Coturnix japonica: one gene and its partners. The protein of the gene in region 5 purifies or fractionates together with the protein of the main gene of each other region. This does not show direct contact. Links are inferred from orthologs where the notes say so. Each region holds a gene or a part of one and is shown on either strand. Other genes may lie near its edges. The genes, in order: CYFIP1, ARHGEF6, CTNNB1, DOCK1, RAC1, XIAP and GIT1.

Region 1 (3,500 bases), on a different chromosome or scaffold from region 5:
CATAGAAACACCACTCTATAGAATTAGTTTCCCAACAAGGCTGCAGTTCAGTTAGACTAACCTCAATTTATGAAGAACAAAAATGGATTAGAAGTTTCCTTAACAGATTCAGTGTTAAAAGTTCATGTGGTTCTGGCAAAAGGAAACAAAAATCCAAGAAGAATGCAAACATCTTTGTTCTGCTTCAACCTTTCTTTAAGTTTGTACTGAAAAGAAACTTACTTTCAAAAGCATATGTTTCTCGCTGGGGGTTAGATACATTTTGTTTTCATAGTAGTCCACACACAAATTCACAATATCTGCAAGCAGTTCTTCATAGCCAACAATCACCTCCAACTGCTGCTGTAACGACTGGAAAAAAAAAAAAAGGAGAAAGGACATTAGTCAAGAAGTTACAGTCCCTTAGGATCAGCAGCTACTACCAAACTGAAAGGGTTTTCTTTTAAAGGTTTTATACAGCATTCAGTATTTTGGAAAAAGGCAATTGAAGCTTACCTGTGTTATCTTGTTGTGATTAGCAAGGAACATGGAGAGATTCTGGGACTCTTGAATGGATTGAGGATCTGCCATTTTCCGTAGGAACTGAGCAGCTCTTTGCAAATAGAAAATAAAACAACCATATTTCCCTTCAGTGGCAATGCTTGTAAGCAAACTCATCCCCTCTCAACACACTCATCTCTGCATCTATCGGGTAGTCAATAGAACCTGTAACTATCAGTACAATCAGTACAATGGCAACACCATTTGTTGCATGTACAAGGTTACTGACCTTTGCATATCTCCCATCTCCTGAATCAGGCAGAAAAAGATTTTTACACATAAGGCTAGTGCTTTCTTGCCAAAGCTTCACAAAAACATGTTAGCCAAACCTACCCTTTTATTGACAATTCTTAAGAGCAACACTGAAATATCGTAAGAACAACTTTAAGTTACAAGCATCAAAACTGGATGCCAAAAACTGGAGTAGAACAAAAAGTCAGCTTTCTCTGAAACTTGAAAAGCAGTATTGAGCAGTGCATATCCAATACATTTAGTGAACGCCATGATAGAAGTACTTGCCAGTTTTGCCTCAAAAGACAGAACAATCTTTAGTTGCTGGAAGAGCAGCATAAAGAAAGTCAATTTAGTCAATGGTTTAGCTGCAGTAATTGCAGAAAAAGCTGCCCAAAAGGGAGCTACTGCTGCCATCTTGTGGGAGCTCTGTCTCCCCACAGCATAAATCCTGATCCTGTCCTTAAGAGCTCACCTCTTGTAGGCTGAATGGTCGTTCTTCACACTGCACTTCATATTCTTCAGCTCATCTAGTACTGCAAACATGTTGATAAATTTGCCCAGTGTGATCAGATACGCTTCAGAGACAAAGTCTTTTCTCCTCTCTGCATGGCACAAGCGTCTCACCTCCCCACAAAACCGTTCAATTGCATTTCTCTAACGAAACAAAAAAGAGTCAGAGAGTAAAAGCCACAATGTTTCCAAGATTCATCCCACAACCAGAGGTCTCACACCTGTCTGTCCTCCCCTCTTAACAACAGTCCACTTTGGTGCACCTATAAGAGGTGATGAAAAGCACCACCAAAGCAACAAAAACATTTAAGGCCTGTGAGGCCAACAACACATGAGCACGGCCTTTCCAGCTTCACCTCTGTGTACTACAAATGTCACAAAGGATTTCCTTATGACAGGCAGAACCTGCCTGGCACAATTGGAAATATTATCTGCAATCTGAAGTCAGAAAAATTTAAAATCCCTTTGAAACAAGTGATTTTATAGCAGAATAGTGATTAATGTCAGCACAGCCATCTTTGCACGTGGTTATTTGAGGGCTTATTTCCAAGTGTGCACCAGGGCCATCTGAGATTGCCTTACACATACACAAAATGTGTTGCACTTCTGTTCCTTCCATGGTGTCAGGGACCATGTGCAATTACCTTCTATTTTATCCTCAAAGTCTTAATGGAGGAATCTCTTTTTTAGGTGGTGGTGCGCAGCAATAGAACAAGGAGCAATGGGCAGAAGCTGGAACACAGGAAATTCCATACAAACACAAGGAAGAATTTATTTACTGTGAGAGTGGTGGCCCAGAGAGGTTGTGGAGTCTCCTTCTCTGGAGATACTCGAGAACCACCTGGATGCTTCCCACTGAGACCTGCTGTAGGGAACTGCTTTAGCAGGGAGTAGGATTCAATGATCACTAGAGGTCCCTTCCAACCCCTGCAATTCTCTTATTCTGTGAAACTCCTGAAGTTTTAGAAATGCTGCCCTTCTGAGAGATCTTTTTTTCCACCAAATTATAACGATTAAGTTGAATATCTGAGCATGTAATATCAAGCATACAGAATAAGCATATAATATTGCTAACAAATGTTTAATTTCTATTCCTTTTACCTGGAAATACATGAACTTCATAAGTTTTGTGACTTCTGGCTCCAGAACTTCTACTGTCTTCTCATAAATTTCCACTCTGTTAGGCTGCTCGTTGCACTTAACCTGAAGACAATTAGAAAGACCATCAATCACACTTACAGCTTTCCCAGATAAAAAAAAAAATTCCCTCAGAAACTCAGATCCCAAATGACAAACTAGAAAACATATTCTCATCTTAACTATACAAATTTAAGGCATCGATAGCTGGCATTAGTGAATCTTCGCCATTTTTCATCGAGTTTAAAAACAGAAATTGAGATTTATTTTTTTTTCTCTGTTATCTCTGTTCTTTGTGCATAAAAATATTTGCAAGCTGTTGCCAATTCACAACTTTAATTTTCCTGATGCATCTTAATATTCTTCCCATCCCATCCCCGTATCACCATTCCCAGACATGCATTCACAGGCTTTTATTTCTGCACACGGATCAAGAAAACACTGCATAGCTCTGACAAGGAGAAAATAACCATTTGAAAACCTAGGATGTTTAACCCAAATGCTAATTATCACATGCTGCATCACCTGTTAAACCTGCTCTGAATTTAAATGTTTGGGGAAGAAAAAAAAAAGAAGTCCAACTAGTTCCCATGTGTTAAGACACTGTTCTATGGCATGCACAGCTTGCTAATTCAGGGATCAAAGCAAACTTAATTTCAGAACTCATTACTAAATCTGTAACCAAGACAGAAGTGCACATGATACATGATGGTTTATTTCGGACCCTTTACCTGGGGAATGGCTCTTGAGCAGCTCCTCCATGTATACAACATGACAGCATATTCCTGGCCCTCTTCTAACATTTCATTCTGCAAGAGAGAAACTCGGTAACAATATAGCAGTGTAAAACATAGGAGTTAAATTCATTTCTCTGCCATTGTTCCAAAGTAAACTTTTTCTTATCAGAAAGTATATGTGCAAATGTGTATTGCAAGCTGAATGATACATCTTACTGCATGTTTTTTAAACCAGCACAAAACAACTAAAAGTTCAGAATGGAACAGTGTTTACAACCTGCAAGTTCCTTTGTATCCCAAAACAACAATATCACCAGCAGAGAGAGAGTTATGACTAACAAG
Region 2 (3,958 bases), on a different chromosome or scaffold from region 5:
AAGATCAGATGGGCTACTTTCAAAGAAAATTCCTTAAATTGTAACACAACTCTGAAACAAATACTGGGTGACACCACGCTCAAAAGTCGACTTTGGCTAGCTGCATTTTGTTGTTCTTCTATTTTCCAGTGTATATCCACTGCTGCACTGCCTTCTTCTTGTCTGAAAGAAAGGAAATTCAACTTAGTATGCTCTCAAAAAGCACATAACAGACAAAGTCACATCACCAAGTTGTTGCTGCATACACAGCAAATGTATTTTGGCTATTTCCAAACTGTCCCAAGAGTAAAAAAATACATCAGGTTTATCTTTAATAATTCCAACACAGTCTAATAAGCACCTGTAAGTGATAAAACAAATCTAGTAAACTGATAAAGATCTTCACTTTCAAAGAGAGAGATTTTCACTTGCCAGGACTAATTAATTTCCCACTTCCCAGAGAAGAGATGGAGAGAATTAACAACAACATGGCATATAAATACCAAAAGAAATTGACAACATTTTGACACAATCTGTATGATGATTTGGTAAGACCTTTTACTGTCACCTAGGATGCTGCATATTAAAGATAGGGAATCACCTTTTAGTTAGCAAGACTAATGGTCTGGATGGACCAGCCTCAAACTTTAAAGACTGATGCCTATTAATTTTGTTGTAGGTGGAGGAAGAGTTTATTTTCAAGACTTATTTCCTGACTCCACCTCAGTGCCCTATTACTGATACTGGTGCTTTTGTCATGAAAAACATGGTTCAGTGTCACTTCCAGAAGGATTTGTGATTTAAACACTTGAACATTCAAGAGCACCGCAAAGATGAGGAAATTAACACTTGTACGTTGAAATTCTTTGAATAATAACACCAAAATAGAAGTGATAGAAGTGGTGAGTTAGTAGCTTTTACTTAACTATGTACTTAATCAGCCTCAGAACAGAAACTACAGATGTTGCTTTTGTATGTCACACCATCACAGAACCATCTGGACTGGAGAAGACCTTCGAGATCATTGAGCCCAACCATGAACATGATCTACTGGGTCCCATCACTGTACTATGCCCTTTATTGATCTGAAATAAAATCCAGTACCCTGAGATAAAGCAGGAACTTGGCAGGAATACGTACAAAGTATTAATGGCATGTTCTGACAAAAGCACTGCACATAGCAAAAAGCTGTAAGCAAACTGAGATTATAACAGCACACAGTGTGCAACAGAACCTATCTCCTTTATCCAAGACAGATCTAACCTAAAATCAAACACGATTAGTCAGATGAACCACAGTATCAAGTGTAGCATTTTCTTTTCACCTTTTTAAAACCTGATCTCAAAAGTACTTTAAAGTAGCAGCAGTAAGTGGGAAGTATACAATTTAATCTGAAGACCCTTGCTGTTACTCCAATCCAGATGTTTTGGTCTTATTTTATGAAGAATCTTAGACTAAGTATGGTGCATTCATACTTAAATGCATTTTATGGTCTATCCGTAACTGCATTTTATGATCACTGGTTCCCCAAGTGGACCATTTCTTTTAGGAGGAAGTCACTCACTGAAATTCCTAACTTGGCAATTGAAAGCCCTGCTTAGACCTGCTCCTCCAAATTTTGCTTTCAGAGTTGAAAGAATTATTTTAGCCACTAAGGATATCCACCCCAATACAGATCCATCAAAAATCTTCTACAGAACTACTACAAAAATACAGTAATTACCTGATCTATCAGTACAGGCATCACTCATCTCTGCCACCAAACCAGACGAATCTGCTTTACTTCAGAAGCATCTTCCAGAAGTTATCATCCTGTAATCAAAATAAAGCAAGCTGAGAAAAATACATTTTACAGCACGAGTCAATCTATAGTGCTTCCCCCCATTTCAAGAGTCACAAGCTTGGGTTTGCAGATTAGTCTGTTTCAAGTTTTACTACTTCTCTTTAAAGTGGTGGAGGATTCACTGGTCTGGAATGGACTGGAATGACTTAGTGACTGGTTGCATGGCTTATGGATTCTCATTCCTTTTCAATGGTGCACTGCCACGTTAAATCCATAAGTTGAATGACAAAACGTACTGAGGACTAAACAGAAGTAAAAAGCTTTGGTTTTGCTTTTAGTTGGAGGTCTTCACGTATACTACATTCAAGAGCATCATTTGAACTTCATGGCTTTACCTGAGTCATAACTTGTCACAGGTTCTGCCACATGTACCAGGTATTCCTGTAACGCTGTGTCAAAACTGAACAGTCAGGCATCCAACTAAATGTCAAGTTTGCAATGGCTTGCTTCAAACTCCCAATAGCTGAGATGGCATCTGTCAATCTAAATCAATTCCTGACTTCACAAGTCTTTTAATTTTCTTAAAATAACAGTACACGCAGTCTGTTTGAGCATCTTCAACGAAAGATACTGGGCACAAAATACCCCCTCCCAACCCTACTTCACAGTATTCTGTCTACAGCGAGCTGCATTCTTATGTTTAGATTCAAAACTGGTGCCATAAACGCTTTTATCCAAGAAGAAATGTTGAATTTTGAGAACTTCTAATGTATTGAAGTATTTCATTTCCTTATTTTTTTAAAATCTAGACAGCACTTCCATTGCCATGACGTGCAGCTGGTTTTACCGTACTAGAGGAAGAAACTTGGTTCAATTTTGACTTAGACTGAAAAACTAGTTTGCTTTGCTTACCATCTTTGCTGTTTCACAGGCATTTGTTGCTTTAAATCAGCTGTGGAATGCTGAAAGTTTCACTTGTTTTTAGGAAGCCATAAGCCTTTGAGAAGTTGGAGAGAAAGACTTCTTTGCTTATCTTATTTTCTCCTTTGGAATCAAAGATGTTCCTTTAAAAGTGAAACACTACAGAGTTGCAAAAATTTGAAACAGTATGAGTAAGCATGGCTTGGTAGCTTCTTTGATGAATTGGTCAAACTTTTTTATTATTTTTTTTTCTTTTTTTTTTTTTTTAAACAGTATACTGTAGCTGACTTACATGTATGTACATGGTTCATTTGATGGGGAGAACTTTTTCAACTCCCCCCAAAGCAGGAGAAAGGCAAAAAAATTAGTATTATCCACATGTTTTTTCCAGGTGGAGTGACTTTTTTTTTTTTTTTAAAACACAAGATCTGAAGGCATTTTCTACTGGGAACATTGACTTCAGGGAACACTGACTTGAAATTCTAGACAAAAATGAATGTTTTTGTGGAACATCCCCACCACCCTCCACATCACAAACAACACTTTAAGAACGAGATGCTGAACATGTAGAACAATCCAGCTCCATATTAGATAGTTGGATGTCGTGTGGAAGAGCTTAAGTACTGCTTGTTCCGTTCACGAGGAAAGTCAGATGGGAATTGTGCCATTTCAGGGAAACTTTACTTTGGAAATTACAACACTAGTACACAGCTCAAACTTTATACATTTAACATCTGCCTTTTGAAAGAAATGTTAACAATTCTGAAATGAAATTAAACACTGGTTTAAATTTTCTTCACAAAAGCATAGAAGTCACGGAGGGGAAAACTTAACAGGCAACAATAAAAAAAAAAGGTAAAAACAACTTTTCCTTTTAGTAGTCCTCTGGTAGTAAAGATAGAACTTCACTTTTTTGTTTTTTTTGTTTTTTTTTTTTTTTTTTACTTTGTTTGAAAAGTAATGTCTTGGTCCAAAAAAAAAGTTAAGAGTGTTTTTAGTATCTGCTTCTGCCTCCACCTCTGTCAGATCTGCTTCCGCCACGGCCACCACCTCTGGGTGCTCCGCGGCTTGAACTACTGTATGAATCACGAGGAGGTGGATAGCCCCTTTCCATGGATGGGGGAAGACCCCTGTCTTGTCTTCCAACACGATCACGGCCACTTGAGTAGACATCACTTCTGCTGCTTGAGTAACTTTCTCGGCTTCCATATCCATCACGTGTGCTGCCGTAATCATCATATCGACTGCTTCCACCATAAGATGGCGGGGGCCCTC
Region 3 (4,202 bases), on a different chromosome or scaffold from region 5:
CACCCCCAAAACAAGCCTTCTAATGCTTAACCAAAAAGTCAGCCAGCAATAGTGCCCTGCCCTCTTTTACCAGGAGTCACTTTGCCTGAACAGACAAGGAAATCGCATGCAATACTCAGTGCCACGCAGTCTGCAGAATTAGCACGGTGCCACGGCTAAGCCGGAGCTCCTGCAGAGCCACCCAGAAAGGCAGGAGGCTCAGGATTTGCAGGCACATGCTTGAGGAGTCGTGCACAAGCCCCAGCTGCCTGCATAGTTTCTCACCAAATCTTATCAGGCCCTATGAAGTATATGATGTTTAAGATAAGTAAGGTCGGTCCTGATTTTCCTGCCGCAGTACGTAGTCTGCCAGAGTTACAGAACAAGTTTTGCTGCCATCATCACCGCCAGCCCTGTGTTACCAGCTTTAACTGAGTTAACAGGAGCGATTCTGCTTACTGCTGTGTTTGCACACTAATCTGCCTACCAGACAGTATTCCACAGAAACATCTTTAGCCGTAAGTTTCAGACAGCACCATCAGACTCCCATTCACAAAGACAGATGATTACAATTGCTCTTTCCTGCTCCCTTCTTGCTATGTGCCTCTCTACTCCAAGAGTCATTTAGAAGGCCACCAAAACCGACTTTTCTCCTTTACAAAAGAATTCACTTAAGCACTGCGCTCTGAAAGACTAAACACAAGCTTCTGTTAGTTTAAAGTCACGAAAACCAACATTCACCACACAAAGAAAGCCTCATCTCTGAAGGGCAGCGAGGTTTCAGGACTGAGATTTGATAAGCTGGTTACTGACACACCAGGCAGTCACAGCAACATGCAAGCATTCATGAGAATGGATCAGGCAAGCAGCCCAGCCCATTTATTGCTTTGGTAAGAACAGGAAGCCTGGGTTGCAGGAGATGTAACAGAAGGCTACATTTGAAAAATGGATTGACTTTAAAGCAAATCCTTGTTTTTAGAAGCTCTCCTGCTTTGTCCTTTCATCAGGGTGTTTTTATTGATTTCTTCCCCACACTCTGAAATGAAACAGTCAAACAGATCAACATGAACGTTCTCATGTCTATCAGTTTGTAACTAAACAGATGTATGAACTAATAGCCACAGAACAGTGATATTTCCTTAGGGCTCCAGAAGAACCCAGCACTCGATCCAATTCTTCTTGCAGTGGCTGAATTTAGAGAGGTTTAAGACTTTTCCTGAACACTTCAGCAGCTCATTTCCAGCAGTACCAACCATTCTGCAACACACAGATAAAGGCAGCTGTCAGCACCTTTTATAAAGGGTGCAAGATTAACATTAGATTCCTGCATTGTCAGTTCCTGAAATTCACGTTATAACTTAACAAACAGCAATGAGCTTCACGCTCACTGCAGTTTTAAAGGCTTGCAGGAGGACATTACTAACATTCAGAAGCAAATTTGTTAAAGGAAGAGTTTATCTCCCCTAATTCTGAACTCAGAATGAAGGAAATAGTGACACGTCCAGGTAGTTTCCTAGCCTGCCCTTGCCCTATTCCGAGCACACAAAGATCCTGTTTTACTAAAACCCCTCCTTGATTTCCTTCCCCCGACCTCAGCATACCAGCCCGGCCTCTTTCCATTCACCACTGCATACTTTGGGGGATGGGAGGACCACAGATGTCTGGAACGTACCGAGTGTCAGAACAATGGCCGCTCCACGAGAAAGAGATCAAGAAGTAAAAGCCGACCGCAAAGATCAACACCGCTGCTCTCCAATTCACAACCCGCCCGCGGTACCTTCACAGCCTGTCCTCCCTTCCCAGTAACCTCTACCGGTGGTATCTCTTCTGGGAAAAGAGAATCCAATCGACTGCACGACGTCCTGCTGCGAGTTTCAGCTAGAGGATAACCGAAGATTTGGGGAGTTTTGGGAGAAACTTGCCCCAGGACCGTGCACAAAAGATGGCTTTTCAGGAATGGACACACCTGGGTCTCCCGTTTCACGGGGAGCCGGAAATAAGTGCCCCAAACATAGCTGGGAGCGACTGCCAAGTTGTTTCGAAGCGCCTTAGCTGGGGGGAACCGCGGTCCCCAGATGGGCTACAGGGTGTCTCAAATTGACGCTACGACCGCACTTCGCGGACCCCCATGAACAGCGTAAGCCCTCCAGCAATCACAGGCACGCAAATAAGACCGAAAACCCACGCGGCATCAGATCAGCTATCTCCCGCACACTGCAGCGGCCGTGATTAGTTAATTACACGAACAAACCCACTGCTCTCCGCCCCTCACCCCGCCACCACCACGACGGCGGCTCGGTGACCCCCCGAGAACCGAAAAACCCTCCCAAGAAGCCCCATGCCCGCCGAGCCTCGCCCCGCTGCCCGGGACGCGCTTCCCGAGAGGCCCCGGGGGCCGCAGTTGCCGCCTCCCGCAGCTGTCCCGACCCCTTCCGCCCCCCCTCCCGAAGCCCCCCACCCTCCCATCCGAAGCCCGGACCCCCCCCCGTTCCCTCTCCCCGCTGAGGGAAGGGCTCGCCCCGAGATCCCACCGGATGAAGCGGCACTAACGTGGCACGGAGGCGAGAGCGTAGCGTCCCCTCGGGCTCCGGCTGCTGCTGCCGCCCGGGCGATCCCGGCCGGATCCGTCTCTCCTTCCTCGTGCCGCCCTCCTTCTGGCTCAGCTCTCTCCCAGCTGCGTCCCCCGCCGCTGCCTCCCGTATAGCAACCGTGCGAGGCGGCGGCGGTAGTCCCCGAGCGCCGCTGCTTGCTGCTCCCAGCGCCGAACCGGGAGAGAGGCTTAAAATGGCGGCGCTCACAAGCAGGCTCTTATAGCGAGCGCTGGGCTGGCTGTATCCTGCCGCCGCGGCCGGGCCCAGCGCGCAGCATTCCACAGGCACCCAGCGCACAGGGCAGGGGGAGGAGAAATAGTGCCCGGCTCCCAGGGCGGAGGGAGACGGAGGAGGCCGAGGCGGCAGCAGGAGCCGCCTGAGGGAGGGAGGGAGCGAGGGGGAGGGAAGGAGGGAGGGGGCGGGCGGTGGTGGTTGGGACGCTGAGCTCCGGAGGTGGGGGAGAAGGGAGCGAGCGAGTGAAGTTGTGCTTGAGGGGTGCGGCCGCGGGGATCAGCCTGGAGGCTGCGTCCCTGCACCGTCTGTTTGTACGGAGAAGACTATTTTCAGTATATATATACATATATATATATATATATATATTTTTTTTTTCTGGGTTTTAAGCACGTTTCGCAACGCACGCCCCCGATTCACACAGCCTAGCTTGGGTGGCGGATGGGGGGGGGGGCGGGCTGGCTCCGCTGGCGTCGGCGAAAACGCGCCTCGCGTTTTTCTCCAGGAAGCGGCTGTTAAAGACAAGTGTCTCGTTGTGCGATTTATTGGTGTTTCACGAAAGAAGCGAGCAGCCCCGGACCCGCTCCTCACCACCGGGGCTGCCTCCTCTCAGCGTGCGCGGCCCCGCGGGGCGCGGCCCTGCCTCGGCGCCTCAGCGCGGGCTGCGGGACGGTGAGAGCGGGGATATGAGTTTGCTGCTCGTATTTCTTTTTCCTCTCGTTGTATTCAGTAATACACAGACTAAAAATAAAAGAAAGAAAGAAAAAAAGCCTTTTCTACAGCGATTTGCACGTCAACTTGCTCCCGTCGATGCTTTTATTTTTTTTTTATTTTTTTTTTTTCAAATGGGATTCTTCCTTGTGGTGAAAATAAAAAATAAGGAGGGTTTGCTGTACACAGGACACGCCCCAACCTCCCAGGCGGCCCGGGCACCCTTCCCATCCCTGTGGGGCCGCACCCCGTACAGGGCAGGGAGGCTTGTCCCATTAAAATGGCTCTCGAAGTAGTTACTCTAATAATAATCATCTTTGATTCCTTCCTGTTATGTTGTAGGGCTTGCAGCAGTGTCCCCCTACCAGCCTCTGGGCACCCGTAGGTTCCCGCTGTAAGAGGTGAACAGCCTTGAAGTTGGAGGTCCAAGGCATCCAGCTTCATTTGTTGCAGTGTTTTCTCTCAGGACGGTTGCCTGTTTTGGCTCCACAGGCCAAAAGGAGGGTAAGAATGAGGGCAACGAGGCGGCAAGAGCTGGCAAAGCCAACGCTGGCAGTGCAGGGCCAGCAGGCTGTGAAGGTTGGTCACCTTCCAGGGGAATTATCGAGTGGTGCTGCATGCCATGGAAGTGTGCAGCAATGGGCAGAAGGACCGTGGTGTTCTTGACTCCTGAAGTTTGACTCCAGTTGT
Region 4 (3,500 bases), on a different chromosome or scaffold from region 5:
AACCAACTTGAGATGGTCCAATGAGCCTATGAAGAAGCACTGCAGCCCTAAAGCACAGACTGTAATTAATATTTAAACCATGGCTGACTTAAATGTTTGTACCACCACATACTATTTACTTTTTCACTCTAGTAGTCCGCAGTTCACAACTGTAATGTGGACACCAGTGACACTGATTCTCTGCACACTGTTTTCATTAGTAGGTACTAGATCTCGAAACAGAGAATCTCTTATTAATGACCATATTACAAAGCATACTGCTTTAACTAAATAACCATTATGGGATAGTGAACTCCACACTACACAGATGAGTATACATAAAAAGTACTGCATACCTTAAAATGCATCCAGTGGATGCCACCTGATTAACACTTTGGTCAACACATGTATGGTCAACACAACTTAGAAAGGTGTTCTTGTCCAGTGAGGCAGCCACTGTCATTACTACAGGGAATGAATGTTATCATAACCCACATTTTACTGGAGATCAACTGGTGACAAATGGAAGATGTCTAGAAGGATTGGCTGGATGCTCAGCCTATGAAAGCATCTGAGCTGCCAACGTTACCCAAATGCTGAGGAGAACCACAAACCCTCAAGTATCACTTACTTCAAAACAACCACAAGTCAGCTTGAAAACCAGAAACGGAAACCAAGTTTCTTAATAGCTTCTACTACTGATCCTAAGCCTCCTGTCACTTCTCTTTCACATTCTTATTTCATATGTGAGGTGCTATTAAGAATCTCACTACCAACTATCAGTTCCTAACTGAAGGATTTACCCACTAGCCGTTCAATATGGTGTGGAGAAATGACTGGACAGGAAAAGAAAAGGCAATGCCGAAGGTAAAATCTATAAGTTGCAAAGAGAAAAGAAGTTGAAAAGCTAACATAAAACAAGCAGGCAAAAAGCTTACCCCCACAGCAAAACCAATTGTAACAGTCAATTACGGATAAGACATTTTATGCCTGTTTCAGCAGATATTGGCACCAGACACTGACAAGAATCACAATGAAAAGGCCAAATTACTCACAGTCCTGTGATGATCTGTGTCGGAACGTGAACCTCAAATGACTCCGGTTCACATCTTCAATGGGGATTGCAACCTTCACGTATTGTGGGAAAGGATGGAGAAAGGAAACAGTCAGGGCAGCATCTTCAAACATATCTACCACTACCAAATCTCATCTAGACATTTTCAACACCAGTCCTGGCTCTTTACAAAGCATTAATGCTAAGGACAAGTTTCAGTTGGCCACCAAAGACCAACGGTCACAGATTCCCTAGGAAAATCAACAATTTACCCAGCAAGTTACCCAGCAAGACATGGAGATGCTAAGGCTGACACAGCCACAATGGTTGAAACCTCAAAGCATTCCCTGTCAATCCTCCCAGCTCAGGAACAAGCCCCCCTTGACTATGACTGGCAGAGGTGAACTCTGTAAGATATTTATTACCTATGCACCACTTGCACTACACAAACTATTAGTGCGTCACTGATCCAGACATAACCAACATGCAGAGATGTAGCTACTCTTTGCCCCTGATATTTTCACTCCAGTTGCTGTATTTCCTTAGCTGTGTGCACCAGCAAGCTCCGTGCTGCCTGCTGCTCCCTACCACATCTGGGGTTCTGAGACCCCCCAACAACAACTTTCTGCTGCCACATGCATTGAGAGCTCCTTTGACTTGAAACCACGGTGCAGAGAGATCCGAAGAGCCTCTTTTCTTTGATATGCATCTACTGTTCCCACTGACTACAGAATATTTCATTAAGCTAACGCTGGCCTCCTACACAAAAATCAGCATTTAAGCTAAAATGTTATTATCCAAGCAGCTCCAGCAAGCTTGCAGTACAATCAGCCAAGTCCCAAAACAACGATAAGTTCAACAGTATAGCAATTATGTTTTAATCTCAATATTCTGCTTTTGCAGGTCAGTTTCATGGAAAGAGTAAAAATTGTTCCCAAACAGATGGTGCAGTGCCCCCAAAACAGCCATCTTGACCAGAAGGATGAAATACAATTTTTATGCAATGAAAGACTAATCCATTTTCCAGCCATCTTTGAAATGCCTCCTTTTGTTCTACTGAGAATGGCTACAAGCATTCATGTTTCTAGATTTGCTTCTCAAGACTTTCCACTGAAATCTATATTAACTTTGTATGAACACCGATGGATGAAATTATTATAACATGTTCGTACCTTGACAGTCTCAAACCAGCGAGGCTGCTTTACTTGGTAATATATTACTGATTTGTACTCTGAGATGGCTTCATCACCAGCACCAGGAAAAATAACACTCTAGGAAACACAAGCAGAAGAGAAAATGGTTATGTCCATCTTCACCTCGACTTTTCAATTCGACAAATAAAAGATAAATCAGTAAGTAGATCAAAATATGACAGAACACATGCACTGATAAAGGAACTGTGAGAAGGAGAACGTTCTGTTGTAAACAAAAATAGGGACTAAAGTTGAAAATATCTAAAAAGATGTTGAAGAATCGTATATATATATATAAAAAAAAAAATAGAAATGTTCGCTAAATAATACCTCTAATCTTTTCCCATCTTCATCATAAACAGACACTGTAACTTCTACATTTTTTGCTGTTGTTTTACTGCCTTTGTCAAAATCTCCCTGAACCAACGTCACATAGATATCATTGCGAACATCTCCTACAAGAAAAGGAGCACAAAGTTTGAAGCAACGCATAGAATCAATGACCAACATCACTAGTAACAAACACACACATATTTACATGCAGGACAATGTTTGAAAGCCAGCATATTTTCAACACTGAAAACCAGCAGTGCTGAAAGCAGTTATGATTAGCTAAAATTGACTTATGGTTTGTAAACTTGAACTACCAACTCATAGAGTTGAAGCTAACAAATAAGCAGAACAACCAACCACACAATTACTCCTGGACTGAAAGAATACATCCTCATCATTAAGATTATGTACCGTATCATTCCAGAAACACCTCAGTTCTCTTGTTGGTTCTATCCTTTATTTTCATTATTAATTTGAAAGGATACATTTCAATTCCTTCAACTTATCTCACACAGGTGTTTTTACATGACGGTCTATGGAGGTCTGCTATAACACTGCAAGGGGAGATTTCTGATGTTTTTGTTGCCACAGGTCTCAGGGGAGGACTACATTTAGCTTTAGGTCTCAAAACGCTCTTCAGCCTCACCCCCATTAAAGTAAAACCTTGAAATGAACTGGGAAACAGGATTTCCAGTAATTCCAAGAGGCAGATGGTCTACGTGCCAACATACCATCATAACAAGCAGAGGTGCTGAGGCACTCAGAACATATCGGCTATATCATAAAATATCTGATAAATGCAGTCTGCAGCCACAGGGTGAGAGCTGGAACCAGCTCGTTTCTAAAAGTATCTGATGGCTCGAAGTTAGCACAAACCCTGATAGACCTGCTATCTCTAGATCAAAAGCCTTTCGCTCTGAAAAATCTTACCTGCTTTCAGG
Region 5 (4,091 bases):
ATTCCAGACAGACTCTTTTCTTACAATAGTTTTACAATGAAAACCAGCTCCAGAAGAGCAGGAAGCTGACCGTTTCTCTGTCACCCAATAATCATCATTCCAAAGCACAGAACTTCCCCCAGCGTTACACGAGATCACTTGAGATTTCATACCACTGAACAGCTGCTTTTTCAGAGTGAAAACAAAAGCTGCTAAAAATAACTCCTAGCAGTGCTCTCCACAAGTGTCAGTCAGCAGCAGCTCCTGCCCTTGTTATCCCAGCACACGTTCCTACTGCTCTGCATCTTCCACAAGCACAAGCAACAGTTGCTGTTTATTTTCCCTCTAACAATCCTCACAATGAAGAGGAAAACAAGGGCAAAACAAGATTGCACAACCAGCAAACATGCTGTGTTTTGTAGCCAAATTAGAGCTCTAAAAAGATACCAGTCAGAGCCCTAAGAACAAAAACAGCTCAGAAACCGCCTGCTTGCTTCCAGCTGTTAAGGCTGCACAGGTACATCCACAGCTGGTTTGTTCCCAGTGGATCTCCACAGGGCACATAAATCAGCGCCTAAGTTTTATGTCATATGAGCAAATCTTTAACCTGCATTGTTTTCCTGAAGTACCAGAGCTTTAGCCTTATCTAAGCCAAACATTCCGCATTTACCAGAACGCCTGTAATGTCTTCACTCGTGAAGCAACAGCAGAGAAGCACCATAAAATATTTAAAAATCCCAGCAGAAGTCAATGAACAGATAGCAAAACTGAGCAGCGGCTTCTAGATGGGATCCTAGGAGGTATGTGCTTCTAACTGCAGAGGAAGGAAAGCCCACTGAATGCCGTGTTTTGTTCACACGTACGTGTAAGACTTGGGTGGGATGACACACTTTCATTTCCAGCAGGAAATGCATTGAGAAAAGGAGTAGTTTACAAAGCAAGAGACAAAGAAGAACTGCTTTGCTGAGCGAGTCATTGAGTAACACAGCGTCCGTACTGAGCTCCTCAACCCAGCAGAGGAAACAGGCAGAACTTTCTCCCCACCCAAACTCGATGCACCACGTTGATTTCCAGCACTGCCACAGACATCAATTCACTTTAAAAATGACAATTAAAAAAAGGGATTTTAGTCACCTTTAAAGTCAACGCAACTGAAAGGTTTGCCTGCAGTCACACTGCCCACCATCCATCAATTACAGTGATGGATCCATCAGTTACAGTGCTATGACAAGTCTCTGTCAGATGATCAAGTGCTCAGTACACTCGTGTTCGGCTCAAAACCCTGCACAGTAAGAGCAGGCCGAACACATGTGCCACGTGAGCTCAGTTTATCTTTCTAACAGCTGCCAGCTCAGGGACTCCAAGCCTTGTTGAAAAATACAAAGCCACACACAGGAAACTGGAAGGTTAATCCACCACATTCAATTACAGAGACAGCAGCAAGGCCATCAGCCACACTTACAGCCTCTGTCACCCGCAGGGGTTTGCTGTGACACCGATTATGCTCGGCCTACACTGGGATTTTTGTTTCTACCGAGGGGGAAAAAAGCCCCGTGGAAGTGCACAAGCCACGCCTTGTTCAGCTGCCCTGCACTGCTGCCCCAGCGAGAGAGAAAGGAGCCTCTGGGCCAATGGCAACACATGGTGGTGAGTACTGAGAAGCAGCAACACAACATCCCCATCACAGCTGCAGTGCTTATGCTGGAATCCAACAGGTCAGCTTAGTGCTAACCTGATCCTAACAACTTGTTTCTAACTAATGTATAAGGCACATCCCATTCGGAGCGCTGTAGGCACAGCAGTGATTTACAGCTGAGTACGATGTTAATGAGTTGGGTTTCGATTGCTTTCTCAGCCTCTTGCAGGCAGGAACCTCCCCAGACGGGAGCCGTGCGAGCAGGAAAACGCTCAGCTCACACGGCGCGTATGGTTCGATTGGAGCGGAACAGATTGTTCGTAGTTGTGCAGCAAAAAGCGGATGTAGCGATGTGAGTTCGGTACTTTGTGGCTCCACACGGTACGATCCGCCCCCCGCCCTTCAGCCCATTCCCCCCGTGACGCGCTGCCTCCTCCCCGGCGCGGCCCCGCACAGCGCACAGAGCTCACAGTGCTCAGCTCACACAGCTCACACCGCACATTGCACAGCTCACAGAGCTCACAGTGCTCAGCTCACACAGCTCACAACGCACATTGCACAGCTCACAGAGCTCACAGTGCTCAGCTCCCAGTGCTCACATCCCGCAGCCCCGCTGGGCCCCGCCCGGCCGCCCGCACCCCCGCCCCGCGCAGCCGCCTCGGTCGGCACCACCCGCCGCCACGGCGCGGAGCGGGCTGGGCTCGGACTCGGGCTGGGCTCGGACTCGGGCTGGGCTCGGACTCGGGCTGTGGCCGCGTTCGGGCCCGCACCGGCCGCGCTGCTCCCGCCCCTCCCGTCGCCTCCATTTGCCGGCACTGGTCGCCGCCCGTCCCGCTCTCGCTCCCCTCCCCCGCCCGCACAAGCCCCAACCCCCCGCTCGTCCCCGCGCCGCCCCCGCCCTCGGGATCCAGCGCGGCTCGGGCTCGGGCCCGACCGAAGGGGTCGGTCCGCGGGTCCGCACTCACCCGTCGCCCACCACCACGCATTTGATGGCCTGCATCGCGGCTGCGGAGCGGGGCGGGGCGTGGAGCGCCGCTCGATAAAGCAGCCGGCGGCGGAGCGCGTCTCAGTCGCTCCGCAGCGTGTCGCGGCCGCCTCCGCCCTGAGCCTGCGAGCGGGGACGAGGCAGCGGCCACCACCCAGGGCGGGGAGAGAACTGCGGGAAACAGGAAGCGGCCGCTCCGCTCACATCCGGCCGGGCTCCGCGCTGCCGCTCCGCCTCCGGGCCCGCTCCGGCCGCCCCGCCCTCCCGGGACACGCTGCGGCGCCGCCGCCCGGTTCCTCCGCCCGTCGGGGTCGGGCCGGGCTTCCCCGCAGCGCTGCGACACGGGCCGGTCCCGGTCCCTTCTGCTTTTTGCCGTCGTTGACTCGCACGGAGCCGCACAGAATCGCGCTGTCACGCAGCGGTGCTGCCGGGCCGGGCGGTAGCTCGGTGTGCCCGCACACCGGGATGCAGAACCCCGCCATCCCGCCCTGCCCGGCTCACTGCTATCGCATGGCCACAAAGCTCACAGCAAACGCTCCTTTGGACACCATTTTGTTATCCCTGCCTTCAACGCTCCTCAGGCCGGTCTGCCACGAGGCTGTTGTGCACAAACCGATGCACGACATTGTACGAAACGTGTCAGTGTGGAATTAGGTTCGCTGTACAGATTTACCGATGTAACTCGAGTTAAGGCCAACCTGTGGCACTCACTGTGTGCCACCACGGACAGATGCCCGTTTCCCCTCAGGCCGGTCCCTCTCGCTCCATGTGCCAGCACAGAGCGCAGCCAGAAGCCTCCTTCCATCGGCAGATCCTCCTGCTGCCCTCTCTCCCCCTGCCATGCTGTGACATTCATTCAATCTGCCGGCAGGTTTTAGCCCAGATCAGTGCACAGCCAGCTTCCCCAGGTGGGGCAGCCTGGACCACGCGTACCGGGGCTGCCAGGCTGCACAGAGCCCTGGGTTTCTTTTTTACCCTAAGGAAACCATTTATTTCCTGTAACTGTTGAAGTAAAAGTTGAGCAGATCAGGCCCAATGGCCCCAGGAGCCTTTTCCTTTCCACAGTTGCTGTTATTCTCCTTGGAAGACGCTGCTGGTTGGACTGATGCACACATTCACCATTCTCCTTGTGTTGCCATCCATCAAAGGAAGCACGAGGAAGAGACCCGAGCAGTCACTGCTTGTGCTGAGTGACCATTCACTGCAATCAACAGAGGTGCCATCCCAGGGATTTATCCAGTGATTCATCTCCTATTCATTTCAGAACATGTCTAAATTATTTGGAAACTATCAAATGAAACCTCGTCGGTGGACAGAGCATCCCACAATATTTATTCTCTTTCCTTTGGAGGGCAATGATAATTCTCAGATATTTCATGTCAGTGTCTATCTCTGAAAAGAGAAAGGCTGTTTTTATAAAACCTGTATGTCCACGTTCCCCCGTACAGATGGAAGCTGAAACGATTCGTCATTCAGGCTGAATATCCTTAA
Region 6 (4,227 bases), on a different chromosome or scaffold from region 5:
ACAAAGCAACTTCAATAAACTGAGAAGCAAGCTATACAGATCCAACCCTCCACAGAGTTAAAACAGGGGAACAAAGTATCCATCAAAAGTATCAATCAGTGACTATAAAGTGTATCACTGCAGGAATACAACGGAGTTACTGCTCTTCTTGGTTAGGAAGAAAAAAAAAAGGCAGTCAATGGGAATATGTGAACAAAATGGGCAGTGATAAAAAACACCTGGCAAAACCTGCAGTGACCATGGATACTCCTCCCTTCTCAAGTATGAGCTGTGCTCCAGCTTGCAGCATCACATGCTTTTACTGTTCAGCTAGAAAACATTTATGCCTATAGATGAGTGAAAAGACAGAAAGAGACAAGCTCTCTTCAAGGGGACATAATGAGACTGGACTCCAGTTGCAGTAAAGTGATTAATGCCACAGCAAAACTGCCAGATCCTTGCGATTATAAAGGAAGAAACTGCAGCAGCAGGGCAGCACAGGGAGCCCATGACCTCTGCCCAGCTGGGCTGCTCACACAGCAAATCCATCTGGGCTAAATGGCACCTCAGCCCAGTATCACTAGCATGAATGCTTTGTCATTCATCGATGGGCTGAAATCATACACACCCAAATTGGTGTGCATACACACAGCTGTGTGCTTGGAATCTCTTGAATTATCCTCTATACTTGAAGTTTTTTATCAAGTTGGGATGACTCGAGGACTAATTCTAACACAAAAGTGAAACGTGAAAATTGCACCTGCAGACAGCACTCAGCACCAAATGCTGCCTTACTGTTTAATAAGAAAACGTTCAGAACACAGAAGGGGAAGGACAGCAAACTTCAAGACCAGCTTCATTTTACGTTCTATATTACATAAGTGACATTGCTCACTGAGGATGGCTTCTCAATTCCAACATTGATTAGATTCCACTAAGCAAGCTTTAAAATAGAACCTGCACTCTAGTAAAGAAGATTTTGGATAGTCATCAAGTCCAAAATTAACATGGGAAGCACCCAGGTTCTCTGGTAACAATTTTCAGTTGTGCACACAGTATTACAGTTTCCATTTCTAAAATAGGAAACGTTCCTAAAACTAGATGTGCAAAATCTCTCCTTATGAAATCAATTGCTGTCCCTTCTTCGTCTACTCAAAGACACAGCAACGTATAAGGGGGTCAAATATCTTATTGCTGGTATCCACCCGATAACTAACCAAGCATAGAAAAGGCAAAAAGTAAAACATTCTGTGATACAGTCTGAGCTGTTAAGAAGCAGCACCAATTAAAACAATAGCATTTCTAGTCCTGAAGGACAACCCAAATCAGGCTGTGCAACACGCCTTCTTCCACTTTCACATACCTTCAGCCTATCTGCACAACTAAAATTTTCTTCCCCTTAGGTTCAGAAATCTATTTCTAGAGCCTGGCTTCCTATAGTTGTGTTCAGAGCCTTTTGAATAGAACATCTCATGATGGACCTCTTGCTATGAAAAATAAGCTGCAAGAGACTACATCCATTAACTCCTGATGGAAAATAAGAATGAAAGGGTATCTACAATGGCTTTCCCCTTGGTATCCTGCCACCAACCAAGGTTAGCAGCAGATTAACTAAAGCAGATACAAGTTTCATGTGTTCTGGCACCAATCTTTAGGCAATAAACAAACAAATAAATAAATACATCCTTTCCTTCACAGGGAGCTCTTCATTGACTTATGAACTGGATATTCTGCAACACTTCAACTCCCTTTGGCTGCCTCGCCCAGCCTGGCAGTACAGCAACAGGTGCACCATCACTATCGTGGGCACACAGAAGCCTGCAACAAAATCCACCTTCACATTCCAAAGGCTTTGATAGGAACACGCATTTTCTAACTGTTCTGATAACAGAAGCAAGTCTGCCTCGTATCACTTGAAGCAGAAAAAAACCCCACCACACCCACATCAGAGTTCTTTCACTTTTGCTGCTGGTTACAAGGAGCAAGGTCAGAGGAAGCACAGAGCTGTCATTAACTCATTTCTTTGCCCTTCTTGGCCAACAGCGTGGGTGCCCAACTTCCAAAAGGACTGAATCACTCGTGTGTCCTCTTATGGGTCCTAAATAAAACTACAGGACAGCAAAAGGAAGCACTTAAGGAAACAAAAAAAATATATCAAAATATAGACTTATTCAACAAAACTTTTCATCCCCAGATGAAAACTTGCTTTCTTAAAGTTCATCTTACGCAGTTATTTCAAGAGACGAGGTGAATAATTCAGTGTATATTTAACTGCATCAAGCTATTAGTTAAGAAAGGATTTGGAAGCATCCATCAGCAAAATGTTTTTTTTCTTTTGGTGTAAGTGAAGCAAACACCACCACACCTCATCCCTAACGTAACACACAGCACAGCTCCAGTGCGGGCAGCAGCACAGGAGGAAGAGCTGAACGACTCTGCTCCATCCGAACACTGTCCTACACACGAGATCACAACTCCAGGCAGCAGACACTTCAGTGGATACCACAAAGCCCAGGCTGTGAAACCACGAGCGGACACCTCTGCAGCGGAGGGGGCGCGCCCGTTCCTGTGGCAACGCCTCCCGGCTCGGCGACCCTCGAGCACATGGGGCGGGTGGGCCCCGAGCAGAACCAGGGCTGGAAAGGAGCGGCCCTACCCCGCGCGGGGAGTCCGCCCGCCGACCCGAGTGCGCCGCGCCCGCCTGACAACTCACCGCGCCGCGTATCCTCCTCACCGGCCCCGGCTGCGGGAATCGCTCCGGCTGAGAAAATGGCGGCTCCCGGCAGCCTCTCGGCTCCGCACCGCTCGGCAGCAGCGCCCCACACAGGGCCGGGGGAGCGCGGCAGTGCGGGGCCCGCTGTCAGACGGCGGCACCCAGTGGCGGCGGGCGGGCAGCGCATCACCCCTCAGCGGCTGCTGGTCTTCCTGCCCGCTCCTCGTGGAGTGGAGCGGCCGAAGAGCCCCCAACCCGCTCGCCAGCACTTCCCGCTGGGTACCGGCCAGGCGTGGTGCTCAAGGGCCGCTGAAAGATGGTGTGAGGGAGTGGTTGTTCCCCACAGAATCCATGGTCTGCACAAAGGCCACCGTGAGAAGTCATCCGCCACAGAATCACAGAATGACCCGGGTTGGAAGGGACCTCAAGGATCATGTAGTTCCAACCCCCTGCCTGGCAGGGCCACCAAACATACACATTTACTAGATCAGGTTGCCCAGGGCCCCGTCCAACCTGGCCTTGAACACCTCCAAGGACGGGGCATCCACAACCTCCCTGGCAGCACACATCCGCCATGTGCTGCTCTCTGAGGTACCCCCTGAAGATGAGAGCTGCCAGCAACGCCGCTTGCTAACTTGGCGCAGAACTTGTCTTCTTGCCTTTATTCCTCCCTCCTCTCATGAGAACAACGAGTTTTTCCAGTCCCGAGTCAGCAATGTGTGGGCTGACATCTCTGCAGGTTGGCATTTCACCTGATCTGAAACCTCCAGTGTATCTGTACAGAGTCAAAACAAAGTCGTTTCTAAATGAGAAAACTGGCTGTACTGAAAATGCAGACTATCGTTCTGGATCACATGACAGAAATATTATTTAAGAATTTAAACCCAAGATGATAATTGTACTGATTTCAATATCCCGAGAAATAGCTGTGTTTCGCTAGTAAAGATTCCTATCAGTCCACACTCAGTTCACACCATAGCAAAGCACAGTTATTTACTTAAAGATCTCAGACGTATTATGACACGGTGAGAGGTTAGCACCTTAACAGAGCAGGATGAATGTGAATATTTAATCTTATAAATCCTCACCATCCCACATTACTAATGCATTCATTAGCAATGATTTTAACAAATGCCATCGCTTTGTTGAGGTTTTGATGCTTTTCCAAACGAGGCAAATCATTTTTTTTAATACCACAAGGTGTTTTTACAGTGACCCTCTTCTGGGTTTTGATGTCTAAATCAAACATCCTGATCAAACAAAACCCAAAACTTCTAGACCCAACACACAGAGCAACCAAAACATAAGAAAACATCACAAACAAGAAAAATGATGACAATAAGAAGAGTAATGCTTATAAAATGTTTTACCTTCTACACAAGCCAGTTCTTGTTCTTCTGTTCAACCAATTTAAAGTTCAGTTTAACATAAAATTCTGAATCAGTAAGTTGTACTGCAAGCCAAAACTAACGACATCTTTGGTGACTCAACAGTAAAATGAATTGTATTACTTTGAAGCACCTTTCACTATAGGC
Region 7 (4,188 bases), on a different chromosome or scaffold from region 5:
GTGCACGAAGGCCAACATCTGGTACTTGGCGCGGATGAACTCTGACTTGGTGGGGCTGGAGACACAGGGTGAGGGGGGGGGGACATCCACCACAGCTCCCCCCATCCCCACAGCCCCATCCCCACACACAGCCCTCACTTACTGCACTTTATCCTGGGGATTTGCCTTCCTGCGCCCGCTCTGCACCTGCGCCGGGTCCAGCAGCGAGTGCTCCCAGATGGAGTTGGCCCCATTGCTGGCCAAGGTGTGCACCATCTATGCATGGGGGGGGGCACAGTGAGCCGATGGGACACCCCCCTTGTAACCTCCCCCCCCGGGTGCACCCACCTGCAGCAGCGTGGCGGGCCAGGGGCTGTGCCGCAGGTGCTTGACGATGGAGATGTGGCGGCCCAGGCTGCGGTGCACGCTGCAGCACTCGTCGCAGATGAGCACACCGCGGTTGATGGAGGCCCAGCCCGGGTCTGCAGGGGGCGTGGGGTGTTATGTAGGGGGGGCTGTGTGTGGGGGGGGGCAGCGTCACCGTAGCAACATGGCGGTTTCCAGGGTGACGGAGAGGGGCTCAGCCCATCGCCAGGGGAAACCCAAAGGGTTCCCTTAGCAACCAAGGGGGGGGGGCAGGATTTGGCCCCCTCATCAGAAGGGCTGACAGCAGCGGGGGCGATGCCAGCACTGTGCAATACACCCTTACGTGCCGATGCTGTGTCCCCTGTGCTGCGGGTGTCCCCATACAGGTGGGTGCCCTCCCACCCACTCAGCCATCACGGACTCAGTGGCTGTGCCCCCCCCAGCAGCCCCACGCCCCCTGCCCGGCCCCGCTCGGCCGCACTGGAGCCCTTTGTGTCCCCAGGAGAACAAAGGGACGTTTGAGCACTGTGCTGGCACCGGCCCCGCTCCAGCCACGGGGGCCCCACCGTTCTTTGGGGGCAGCTCCCCACAGCCAGCACCCCAATGGGTCCAGATCCCCCGGCACCAACAGAAGGGATGGGGGACAGATGGGGTGCCACCCCCCCCTCCACAGGGGGCAGGGGCAGGGTGGGCCATACGGTCCCCAGCGTCCCTGTGCCATAGCAGAGGAGTGTTGTGCATCTATAGGGCCTACACAAACACCGCGCCGCCCCACGGGAGGAAGGGCTGCGGGTGGGAGGGGGCAGCAGCACCACCAGCGACCCACCCCCATCACCCAGTGCGGCGCTTCCTTCCCACCCCCTCCCCAAAACCCCACTGCTGCCCCACACCAGGCAGCCCCGACCCCTCTAATATGGGGGGCACAGCCGGCAGCGGCCACAAGGCAGTGTTGTCGTCGTCCCCCCCCCCAAATCCTGGCAGCACCGCCCGGGCAGATGGCAGCGCTTGGCAGCAGCACCGCCGCATCTGCGCCTCCGCACCGCGGCCCACGGGGCGCTGCCGGGAACAGGATGCTGCGTGCCGGGGGGGGGGCACCCCATATAGCACCCCATATAGCACCTCATATAGCACCCCATATAGGATCCCATATAGGACCCCATACAGCACCCCATACAGCACCTCGCAGTGCCACCCCTTCCTCCTTCATTGGGATCGGGGCGGCTGAGGGCACAGCAGAACGGTGCTACCCCATAACCCGGAGCAATGGGAAACTCCATCCCTGCGCCGCGGGGGCGATGCCGGAGCCGGGCACCCCGCACATCCCGACACCGGCTGCTCCCGGCCCCGCGATGTCGGAAGCGGCCTCTGGACTTTATAACTCATTTCCTCCCATGGCCGCCGGGCGATAAGGGATTGGGAGAAAAAGCTTTCCATTTCCCCCATAGGAACCTCGGCACCGCCGGGTACCTTATAACAGGGGCTGACCCACAGCAGTGGGTGACCCCGCAGCCCCCCATGCACGTGGCCGCCATCCTCAGGGCTCTGAGCCGCTTTCAACGTTCATTCATTGCCCCCAGCGCCGCAGGGATGGGTCTGGGGGTCACAATATGGGGGGGGAGCCATCTTTAGGGTATGTTATAGAGATAATGGGGTGCAGCGGGGATTCCCAGTGCGGGGTGTAAAAGGGGAACCCGGGGGTAAAGTAGGGGGTGAAGAGTGGGGGGTAATGGGGGGCAACAAGGGGCTGTAAGAGATAGAACAAGGGGTCTGGGGGGCACAGGGGGCATTTTAGGGCTCACTGTAGGGTTCCTGGGTGCAGAACAGGGGCACCGGGGGGCACAGTGCTGGGTGCCGAGAGGGAAAGTAGGGGTACAAAGGGATGGGGAATGGGGTGCACCGAGGGTTGCAGGGGGAACGGGGGGGGGGTTTATTTAGGGCACGTTGTGGGGTTGCTGTGGGCAAAGAGGGAGTCGGCAGGGTATGCAGGGGGAACCCTGGGCTCCTGGGGTCTCAGCACGGGGTGTGAAGGAAGGGTGGGGGTCACTGGGACCCCTGGGGTAAATAGGGGGTGCGGGGGGGGGAGGGAGGCACCGGGGTATCGCGGGTACAAAGCTGGGGGTTCAGAGCGGGGCAGCGGGGTCCAGAGCAAAGGGGGAGGGGGGCGTCATCCAGGTGCTGATGCTGGGGGGGAGGGGATGGAGGCACACGCACAACCGAACTGCGAACGGCCCCGCGTGGAGGAGGGTCGGGGGGGGATAACGCCGACGGGGCCGGGCGCGGCCCTTCCCTACCTGCGGCACTGCAGTCCGCGCACACCTCCGCCCGCTGCGCCTTCCGGGACATCCTCAGCGCCGAGCCGGGCCCGGGTCTCTGCGCCAGCGCGGAGCGGGGCCGGGGAAGGGGGGGATGGGGGGGTCGGGTTGGGGAGGGGTCGGGGGGGGGCGGCGGGGCTCGGGGCCGCCTCGCCCTCCTGCCGCCTGCCCTGCCGGCTGCTCGCAGCCCCGGCGGCTCCGCAGGAAGCGGCTCAGGCCCGGCCCCGGCGGAGGAGGAGCAGAACCGCCCCCGCCCCGCGCAGCGCAGCGCAGCGCAGCGCAGTCACGGCGCGCCCTGAGCAGCAGCGGGTGATGGAGCTGCGGCCCTTTGGGGCGGATCGGGGCCCGTCCTGGTGCTGGTTCTCGTCCTCATCCCGGCTCTGTCATCCTCTGGTTCTGGTCCCGGTTCTAGTCCTGATTCTGTGCGTCTCCTTGTTCTTGTCCCCATCCTGGTTCTGTTCCTGGGCATTCCCTGCCTCTGTTCTGGTCCTGCTTTTGGGTATTCCCTGCTCCTGGTCTTGGTCCTGGGTTAGTCTTGGACCTTGTCCTGGTCCCGGTTTTGTCCTGGACAACCCCTGGTTCTTGTCCTGATAGTGATCCGGATCCTGGGCATCCTCTGGACCCGGGCCTGGTTCTCATTTTGGTCCTGGTTCTGAGTTGGTCTCATTCTAGGCATCCATTGGTTCTGGTTTTAGCCTTGGTCCGTGTCCCGTTCCAGGTTCTGACCCAGCCCATGTCCCGGTTCTGATTCCATGCACTCCCCGGCCCTGCCCCCAGCCCCATTCCCAGCCCAGGGTCCCATCCTGCACCCGCACCCCCGAGGCCCCAAATCACCCCGACCCCCACCCCCACGATGGCTGAACCTGGCATAGTGTGTGTGGGGGGGTTTGATACTGGGGGTGCCCATCTCTGTGCCGTTGTCAGATGGGGTCGGGGGGCGCCACCCCCAGCCCGGGGGACCCCGATCAGCGCCCGGGGCTGGGGGCACAGCGCCGTGTCACGCTGCACCCGCCCGGCGCTGAGCTCACCGCTGCATGGCCGTGACGTCACGGGACAGCGGGACCTTTGGGGGGGGGTCGTCACGGCCACAGCCCACCATAGGGGCGGGGAAGGAGCGGGGTGACCCCGCGGGAACCCCATAGGGGCGTGGGGAGGGGTCGGAGGGTGGGGGGGGGGCAGCCGTGGGGCCCAACCTCGCATTGTTCTCTGGCGGCTGCCGGAAAACACGAGCGGAGGGACGGGGGCGGAAAGGGAAATGGGGCCGGGGGGGGGTCGGCACCCCACGGGCTCATCGCGGGGGTCGCGCTGCTGCGTGTTGAGCGCCCGTGGGTGGGGAGAGCGGGGGGGTGCGATAAGAATTCAGGTTGTGCCTTCGGGCGCTGCGGAGCCGTCCCCGAACAGCCCCATACAATGGGGGGGGGCATAGGGCCGGCGGGGGGTGCGGGGAGGAAAAGGAGGAGGAGGAGGAGGAGGAGGAGGAAGGGGCGACGCCGCGCTCAGTGACTACAAGTCCCATGAGGCCGGGCGGTGC

What was found.
Region 1: the proteins of RAC1 (region 5) and CYFIP1 purify together in Homo sapiens (pull-down; 3 studies listed by BioGRID and IntAct, with this or other methods). This does not show direct contact. The link is inferred for Coturnix japonica from reciprocal best matches to the Homo sapiens genes RAC1 and CYFIP1.
Region 2: the proteins of RAC1 (region 5) and ARHGEF6 purify together in Homo sapiens (affinity purification with mass spectrometry; 3 studies listed by BioGRID, with this or other methods). This does not show direct contact. The link is inferred for Coturnix japonica from reciprocal best matches to the Homo sapiens genes RAC1 and ARHGEF6.
Region 3: the proteins of RAC1 (region 5) and CTNNB1 purify together in Homo sapiens (affinity purification with western blotting; 4 studies listed by BioGRID, with this or other methods). This does not show direct contact. The link is inferred for Coturnix japonica from reciprocal best matches to the Homo sapiens genes RAC1 and CTNNB1.
Region 4: the proteins of RAC1 (region 5) and DOCK1 purify together in Homo sapiens (pull-down; 6 studies listed by BioGRID and IntAct, with this or other methods). This does not show direct contact. The link is inferred for Coturnix japonica from reciprocal best matches to the Homo sapiens genes RAC1 and DOCK1.
Region 6: the proteins of RAC1 (region 5) and XIAP purify together in Homo sapiens (affinity purification with western blotting; 3 studies listed by BioGRID and IntAct, with this or other methods). This does not show direct contact. The link is inferred for Coturnix japonica from reciprocal best matches to the Homo sapiens genes RAC1 and XIAP.
Region 7: the proteins of RAC1 (region 5) and GIT1 purify together in Homo sapiens (affinity purification with mass spectrometry; 3 studies listed by BioGRID). This does not show direct contact. The link is inferred for Coturnix japonica from reciprocal best matches to the Homo sapiens genes RAC1 and GIT1.

What each region holds. Positions count from the first base shown.
Region 1 is NC_029516.1:117,490,442-117,493,941, reverse strand, and holds part of CYFIP1 (cytoplasmic FMR1-interacting protein 1), read right to left. Parts: intron 3,231-3,500; coding exon 3,153-3,230; intron 2,488-3,152; coding exon 2,386-2,487; intron 1,429-2,385; coding exon 1,247-1,428; intron 593-1,246; coding exon 496-592; intron 352-495; coding exon 223-351; intron 1-222. UniProt on the Homo sapiens protein: Component of the CYFIP1-EIF4E-FMR1 complex which binds to the mRNA cap and mediates translational repression. In the CYFIP1-EIF4E-FMR1 complex this subunit is an adapter between EIF4E and FMR1.
Region 2 is NC_029519.1:4,266,646-4,270,603, forward strand, and holds the start of ARHGEF6 (rho guanine nucleotide exchange factor 6), read right to left. Parts: upstream 2,801-3,958; 5' UTR 1,703-2,800; intron 163-1,702; 5' UTR 1-162. Other genes in the region: RBMX (RNA-binding motif protein, X chromosome), read right to left, coding at 3,678-3,958. UniProt on the Homo sapiens protein: Acts as a RAC1 guanine nucleotide exchange factor (GEF).
Region 3 is NC_029517.1:39,909,123-39,913,324, reverse strand, and holds the start of CTNNB1 (catenin beta-1), read right to left. Parts: upstream 2,801-4,202; 5' UTR 2,530-2,800; exon of another isoform or gene 2,511-2,529; intron 1,802-2,510; exon of another isoform or gene 1,652-1,801; intron 1-1,651. UniProt on the Homo sapiens protein: Key downstream component of the canonical Wnt signaling pathway.
Region 4 is NC_029521.1:29,272,342-29,275,841, reverse strand, and holds part of DOCK1 (dedicator of cytokinesis protein 1), read right to left. Parts: intron 2,682-3,500; coding exon 2,557-2,681; intron 2,305-2,556; coding exon 2,206-2,304; intron 1,108-2,205; coding exon 1,035-1,107; intron 1-1,034. UniProt on the Homo sapiens protein: Involved in cytoskeletal rearrangements required for phagocytosis of apoptotic cells and cell motility. Along with DOCK1, mediates CRK/CRKL regulation of epithelial and endothelial cell spreading and migration on type IV collagen.
Region 5 is NC_029529.1:8,463,519-8,467,609, forward strand, and holds the start of RAC1 (ras-related C3 botulinum toxin substrate 1), read right to left. Parts: upstream 2,801-4,091; 5' UTR 2,616-2,800; coding exon 2,581-2,615; intron 1-2,580. UniProt on the Homo sapiens protein: Plasma membrane-associated small GTPase which cycles between active GTP-bound and inactive GDP-bound states.
Region 6 is NC_029519.1:14,642,539-14,646,765, forward strand, and holds the start of XIAP (E3 ubiquitin-protein ligase XIAP), read right to left. Parts: upstream 2,801-4,227; 5' UTR 2,693-2,800; intron 1-2,692.
Region 7 is NC_029534.1:4,843,467-4,847,654, forward strand, and holds the start of GIT1 (ARF GTPase-activating protein GIT1), read right to left. Parts: upstream 2,801-4,188; 5' UTR 2,689-2,800; coding exon 2,637-2,688; intron 462-2,636; coding exon 328-461; intron 256-327; coding exon 143-255; intron 56-142; coding exon 1-55. UniProt on the Homo sapiens protein: GTPase-activating protein for ADP ribosylation factor family members, including ARF1.